2 linked regions of the Schizosaccharomyces pombe genome follow. The protein of the gene in region 2 purifies or fractionates together with the protein of the main gene of each other region. This does not show direct contact. Each region holds a gene or a part of one and is shown on either strand. Other genes may lie near its edges.

Evidence for each region.
Region 1: the proteins of sal3 (region 2) and php4 purify together in Schizosaccharomyces pombe (affinity purification with western blotting, with the first as the bait; one study listed by BioGRID). This does not show direct contact.

Annotation. Positions count from the first base shown.
Region 1 is NC_003423.3:1,914,732-1,918,658, forward strand, and holds php4 (CCAAT-binding factor complex repressor Php4), read right to left. Parts: upstream 2,162-3,927; 5' UTR 2,007-2,161; coding exon 1,119-2,006; 3' UTR 644-1,118; downstream 1-643. Other genes in the region: SPOM_SPBC16E9.02C (CUE domain protein ), read right to left, coding at 3,430-3,927. UniProt on the Schizosaccharomyces pombe protein: Component of the transcription regulatory CCAAT-binding complex. Required for the reprogramming of the cell for iron use. Down-regulates pcl1, sdh4, and isa1 underlow-iron conditions.
Region 2 is NC_003421.2:2,257,700-2,261,626, reverse strand, and holds the start of sal3 (karyopherin/importin beta family nuclear import signal receptor Sal3), read right to left. Parts: upstream 1,612-3,927; 5' UTR 1,346-1,611; coding exon 1-1,345. Other genes in the region: SPOM_SPCC1840.13 (uncharacterized protein), read left to right, coding at 3,460-3,858.

The sequences.
Region 1 (3,927 bases), on a different chromosome or scaffold from region 2:
GCAGCACAATATAGTTTTTGATGCAATTACAGTTAACATGCATAATACTTGTTTTGAAAAAAAGTTATGAATAAAAGCTCAATTGTAAGCACATCACAAAGAACGATTTTTAATCGTAATTGACGATATGTAATTTTGGATTTCATATAAAATTGTAACTACTTATTAAATGATCATTAGGGGAAATAGCGCACACTGTTTTATATCCTCTTCAAATTTACAAAATGAAATTAATCAATTTTAGCAATTTACCTATTTTATATGATTGAATTGAATTGAAAAAACCATGAGTTGATTATGACGCTGAAAGAAAGACATATAAGATCCTTAGGACACTACAACTCTTTCTACTTGAATGCGAAAGTGGATTGGTCTCACCAAAAGATTACCGTACACAAGAACTTCGGTGCTCTAGCAAGTTTTCTTTCAACCAGGGCAATTGCAAAACGAAGAAATTCTAGTGGTACACCACACTGTTAAAAAAAATTGACTAGCATATTAACATTGTTAGATTATTCACTTTTTAAATTTGGAAATACGAAGCTTCAAACATAAGCCATAATAAACACAGTGAAGGCTTTAGCATTAAATTTATTAAAAACACTGCTTAGCAGTTTGTAAAGTCAAATGTTTGCTATGAACATTTTGAGTAAAAATATAACAAAGATTTATTCTTTTCTATACAAATCAGAAAATATATAAAAACAAAACATATAGTGAAATTAACATATATAACAGAAAAGGAAGCAATGTAATGAACAAAGCGATCTAGACTAGAATATGTCAAGGAAACATACTTTACGACGTACAGCCAGTCTAGTGAGTAAAAAAAAAACACACTCTTAAAACAAATACCAAGAACACGAAAAATAAAATGTTGTAATATTTCTGAATGTATTGGTTCAAATACCAGTAGTGAACGTTAGTATTAACAGAAAGAAATCCAAAAAGAACGAAAATGCACAACGAATAAAATAGTATGAAGCAAGATAATTAAGTCCGAAAATAAAAATTCCGTACCATGGAAAAAGGTAATGGAGATCACTTACAAACAGAAAAGTCGCTGCTGAGATGCAATAACAAGAGGAGATGAGAGATGACAAAAACTTTTGGGAAACTTAGGAAGAAGAGGATATGGAAGTGACGGGACGAACATCGTTAAAATTTGGTTCCATGGTAGGAAGTTTGAAGGCGATTGAAGGACCTGCCTTTAACATCGGAGCAGACTTCGAGGACTTGTGTAAGTCAATAAGTAGTTGAGCATAAACCTTGGTTTCCTCGGATTCACGGACACGTTTAACAGATTTAGGGCTTCCAGAGTACAAACATCCTTCTACACTATTGCAAACACCACGTTTACGTATCTTCTCCATTACTGCTGGGTTTTCAGGTGTAAAATTAATTTCGTTTTGGGGAGACATAGATACACGAATTCTTCCATTTTCGGATGGAACGGACTTTGCATCTTTACTGTCACTATCCACACGAATTCTCTTGGCCGAATCACCCAAGAAGGCATGAGGATCTAGCTCAATGGGAATCTCTGTATAAACGGCATTCTTAGCACAGGGCGGCTCGACCGGATAATTGTACTGATTTACATAACGGTTTTCATTCTCAGTAGTCGCAGAATCTGGCTTGACAACTTCAGAGTTTACTTCGACTTCCTTGGGGCTATCCAAAGTAGAATTCTTCAACTGAGCCTGCAGCATCTCCAACTGCTCAAGCAGCTCGTTGTTCTCCTTCTGTAACTTTCCGATCGTATCCTGATATTGTTTTTCACGAACACGGAATTTGGCTTCCTCGACCGACAAAGCTGAAGTCGGCCCAGGTCTTGGTTTAATAGGTGCCTTTCTTCTTCCCAGAGCATCTAACGCAGGTTTCCTTCCTGGTTTGGGACGAGGAGGAACAACCCATTGTTTAGAGACGCGAATCATCGGCTTTTGAGGTGCTGGAGAAGCAGAAGATGATTTTTCCACTTCCGATGGACTTTTAGACGATTCCATGAGCAAAAAAAAAGTTGGGGGGATAGGAGATATCAAGTACAGAACTACACTTTTAGCAAAATATATAAATCTTTATTTTCCAATACTCCAATGCCTCTACTGACCAAGCTTAAAAATCTCACTTTTTCAAACGTTTGTCGTTGGTGGTTTGTTTTAATCTGATAAAGAGATACGATTAAATTATATCTGATCTAAGTGCCGTGTGGTTCGATGATTGTACTGTTAACCCGGTATGCAACACCTCGTTATATCTTTAAAGACTCAATTTTCGGGAAAAAACGGATTAGTGAACAGGTCGGCTTAGAGGCGCTGTTGACATACATTCTCAATACCCATCATTTCAGTTACAGAACCAATTAAAAAACGCGGGTATGGTGGACATCATCTGATTAAAACCGATCGACCTAATAAACTCTGGGCTCTGGCTATGTAATACTACAATCATTCGGCACACCAACTATCATAGTAATGCTTATCCATGTTACTTTTTTGGAGTTAAATTAATGTTCTGACTCACTGCTTTTCTCATGTCATACCGTCCTTTGAAGATTATTTAACATTTGTTTATATTTTTGATATAATGAGATGAAACGAAAGTGCACTAACACATGTGACTGTTTTTTGACTCCTAGTATATAAGAAATGTGAGTGAGTTAAAACAAAGCTTCATCTCACAAAATAATGAATTACTGATGTCAAAAAGTCTGCTCTCTTCTAACGCGGTTATAATATAGAACCGTATTAATGGTTGCAGCTTTTTCCTCTTCATGGAATCGGTATAGATTATGTCGGGGAGACCGACAGCATAGCTTAAAACCATCGTGAAGTCGTTGCTTCGTGCCATGGCTCGTGATGACCGAATGCTACGTACAGTTTTTATATTTTATATCATTTTTTAGTTTGATTTATGTTGTATTCAGTTATTGTTGTAGTTAAAATACGTTGTTTTAATAATTCACGTTGTTTCGTGCCTTCTCAATGAATATCATTTTTTTGTAAGCATCATATGTCTCATGTACAGTAGTGGTAAAAAGAATAAAGGTTGCTATGCACGCAAGGATGGAGTGAATGTATGGATACTTAGCTACTCAGTTTATCCAAATGGTTTCGATAAAACTTCAAGCACAATCTTAAATTAAAGTTACTTTGCAAATTCATCAACGGGATTGCGATTGTCGTGAAAAATTTAATTGATTATTAATAATTCAATTATAAAAATATGAAACAAAAGAGCTCGAAAAAACATTACTTATAAGAAAAATCGAAACAGCGCTAAAACATTTACTGTAAAGCTGAGGAACACCGAAAATAGCAAAATTTAAATCTTCAAGCTACTCGTACCCTGAATACTCAAGGCATATATAGTACCATTAGCTGATTACAACTCTTGAACCTATCATGATGTGCCTTGTTGTTCTTTCCCTTAAGTCTCTTTTCCCGAATTTTGTAGATCAGCAGCCTCCTCGATCTTTTCCTTAACATCTTTGCTGTCAACTTTTTCAGCCTTTTCATTTGCCTCTTTATTATCATCCTTCGCAGGCTTCTCGTTAGTGTCCTTACTGTCAGTCTGTTCGACTTTGTCCGCAGTTTCTTTGCTATCGGTCTTTTCCTCCTTGTCATCGACCTCTATACTATCAGTCTCCTTAGCCTTGACATCGGCCTCTTTACTTTCAGTTTCTTCGACCTTGTCCTCAGTTTCTTTGCTATCGGTCTTTTCATCCTTGTCATTGGCCTCTATACTATCAGTCTCCTTGGCTTTGACATCGGTCTCCGTTTTACCAGTGTCTTCATTTGTTATCTTTGTATCTTTCTCCTCAACATCCTTATGAAGACTAGCTTTGTTATTTTCGTCCTTACTCTCCTTTTCTTCCCCAACGTCAGATTTCTCTTCTAAATTGGCTTCCGAATCAGCATTCTTGGC
Region 2 (3,927 bases):
CTTGCATGTCAGGAGCAAAATCTGTAGACATTTGGCCTACAGCATTGCATGCAGCCCATCGAACACGGGGGTGAGGGTCAGCTAACAAAGGAAGTACCATATCTAATACACGACTAAGCTCTTTTTTCATTAATTTTTCAGCACCTTCGGCAATTGATGAGATGGCCATAAGGGCAGCATGACGTTCAGACCATTTTTGAGACGGGATCAATCTAGGAAGCCACGTGAAAGAGGGAGGAAGAATTGTTTTTCCGCCCAACTTTCTAGAAAGTCTATCCATGGCTTGTTCCGCGACAACATGGTTAGCATCACTTTCATCCTGATCCAAATCGTCCGTGTTCAACCATTCTTGAAGTTCTTCTGCCTCATCCTCAGGATCGCCAGCGACATCGGTCATTAGCAAGAGACATTGAAGTACAAGTTGATCAGTGTAGTCGGAAGATTTCCTACACATAGCAGGGGCACCCTCCGAAAAACAAACAAGCAATTCAAGAGCAGCTTGGCGAGCGGAATTATCCAGCTCCTTGTCCTTAATGATACCAAGACCAAATGCGATGACGCTCTCAAAAATAGGTTTGAATAACTTTGGGAAAACTTCGGCGATTTCAGTGATGGCCATAAGACAGTCCGCCAAATTATCAGAATCACGATCTTGTTGCAGAGGGGGAAGGATGTTCATGAGGCTAGGTAAAAGAGGAATAACCTGATCTCGAGTGGATTGTTTGCTCTCAAGAATAACGGCAGAATAGGCACGAGCGGCAGATATTCTTACACGGATACTAGGATCAGCTAAACCGGTGGTAAAGAGAGGAGTAACAGCACTATCTTGACCTGACAATAAACGAGGTAAAGAAGTGATGGTACGGAAAACTGATTCACGAAAAGACTCATCAGGAGAGTTAACAGCATTGAAGATAACGTTAATGAGTTCTGGCCATTCGCCTTGACAATCATAGATAGATCGAGCAATCTCGGCGATTGTGTCACAAAGCTTATTACGAACAGTGGGAACTGACTCCTTAACAAAGCAAGCTAGAAGTTGACTTTGCAAAGACTGTTTGGACTCATTTGAAATGCTAGAGAACACTTCCAACTCACTGTCTCCTGGTAAGGTGCGAAAGGAAATACGACGGCAAAGAACTAAACAAAAGGAGCGCACAGCTGGGTCCTCACTTTGATAAGCTAAAATCGCAAGGCCGTTTAATAATAAGTCAGCTCTTTGACTTATCCAGTCTGAGCTAAGAGACTTTTCAGCATCATTTCGGACAGTATTGTCAGGCGACGAAAGGCCTTGAACTAAATTTAAAAGAGGAGACAATACTTCAGGAGGAAATCCACTAGACATGATATTAAAAAAAAATGAGCAATCAGAGACGTGGATTTTGCAGTTTTAGAGGAAAAAGGTAAATAAACTTAAATACAACTTTCTCGTTCGGTCAGAGGCTGAGGTACCAAGAATGTTTTGGGCTGTAAAAAATGGTAATAAAGGCCGAACTTCTAGTATTAACGAGTGAAGCAAGTTTTATCTTTTATAATACCTAAATTAAGCCAGCGATACTATACAAAGTAGAAGTGCCAACTGTCTACACTAAGGGAACCCCAAGGGCAGATGGAGAAAGGAGTGTATCGACTTGTGGTGTAGTGTATTACATGAATCGCATCAAATTTTTAAAGTAATGTTGCGCATCGTTTTTTTAATTTATCGCAACAGTGATAATTTTTACCAAAAAAAAACACTATTCTTGTAAACTACGTTAACTTTACATAGTGTTCTACAAGGATTGTAAATTCGTATAAGGAAAATTTGTGATTTCGTTTTCAAATCACAAAAAAATAGAATAGTTTGGATTATGAAGTATGTTTTAAATTTGTAAGTTTTTATTTTCTTGTCTTTTTTTTTTAATTCCACATTATTGAATGAACGCATTTTACCATTCCAGCAACTTAAAATCCGTTCACATTTCGTTTTCCCATTGAATTATTGATGAGTGTGATGAACAGAAAACAAAGTGTCATGCTCATTAAGGTTTTCATATTTTTCTTATTAGACTCACAATTACATACACTAGTAGAGACAGGTATGGTGAATGAATTGCTAACATTTTGAATGCCATCATTACAAACTAGTTAGTATCAAATTATAGTCGGTATCATCCGAGGCTGCACATAACAATGTAGCGATAAAAAGTAATTTGAAATTTTAGCACATACAGGAATCAGGGATGAGTGGCAATTTAGTAATAATCGTGAATATTCCGATGTACCAGTGCAAGCTAAGTTATTGTTCGCTAAGCTTGTTTTGGAAGCGTTTATATGTAAGTATGTCTGATCTATTTTAAACAATTGCATGGATAAAGTCTCGGCCTTTTGTCTTGCATAAAGTCATATTAAATTGAAATTGGCGGGAAACCAGAATTAGGATAGAATAAGATTAGTGTAGTATAGAATTAACAAGAAAGGTATGCATAAAGAGCATTAATAGAGGTTTATTAGAAAAATAAAGCGATAAAAAGGAAATGTAGTAGAGCAAGAGAAGTAAATTCTTTTAATTTTGAAATTTCCGCCAATGTATCGTCCAACCGACGCTGCTTGTTATACTACGCAGTTTGAATGTCTAGCGATTTCCATAAATCAACTTCTTTGAAAACATTCGCTAGCATTCAGGACGAAAGGCGATGTGTAAACAATGAGGAGACTTAACTTACCACCGCTAGTCTTAACTTCACTGGATAATGTTATAGAATAATGTTGTAGAAACCGGTATAGGAAACAGTGATTTTCCCAGGGTTGCTGTTATCTCGGATTCCCGTTTTACATTGCTTTTGGCAGGGAATTACGATAGCAAACCAACTAAAATTTCCTTTCCGTCTTTAAACCGAGACGCTATAGTACAATTGATTCGTTAAGTTCCCGATGGCGGGCGATTTCATGACGAGAAAAAAAATCGGTAATTCGTAGACTAGAAGAAAGAAACCATTTTCAAATAATATCGTTCTACTAGAATCGGAACATGCAACCGAATGAATTTGTTTTTTTAAAATATTTTTAACGTTACTTCAAATGTACGGTATGGAAACGTAATTGACAATTGGCGAAATAGACGAATTCAATTTAAGAGATTTGAATACATGGAGAGATTGAATGTATAGTATCTAATTAAGGAGAATTGATGAATTTTTTAGATTTTTTAATGTGATTCCGGTTCTTCGCTATAATTGCTTGCATTCCAAAATCCCCGTAGCATCCATTTCCATCAATGGTTTTTCAATTCCCGTACACGGTTATTTTTCCACCGCTCTGCATTGCGAGTTCTGTGGCAATACCCAATGTTCTACTAGGATATTCTATTAAACCACGCTATATCAAGGAACCAGGCCTTTCCATCTTCCCCATTCTATTCATAGGAATTTTGGCCGCTTCCCTAGTAGAAGGGACAGCCAAAAAAGAGCGAAATTTCAAATGGACTTTTATAGGATCTTGGTAATATGCATCCATGTATATACCAGGCTAGTTTTTGCGCCATTGAAAAAGGATTTAAAACTTTTACGCTTAATCAGCCTTTGCATTCCAATAATTCGACCTTTTTCTTTCCTCATTTACCCACCACCCAAATCTTTCTCCCCGCTCAACTCTATTCTTCCATCTATCTTACCCATTATTCCTTTTGCTATCTCATCTAGCCTGCTCTTTTCATATACTTTTCACGTTTTCTACCGTTTCCTTTTCCAGCCGCTATTATCGGTCCCATATGCCAATTCCAAACAAACCAATTGTTTACTCGTAGCGAGCTTTGTTTATTTACCCTATCGGAGCCCGTTACCGGTTGTCATAGAAATAATGGTACAGCGTTACTTGTAGATTCAGCTCTTCCCAATCAGTGGTGTAGCAAAGAGGATGATCAATGGTTACAACAAATTTCCCTTTGTT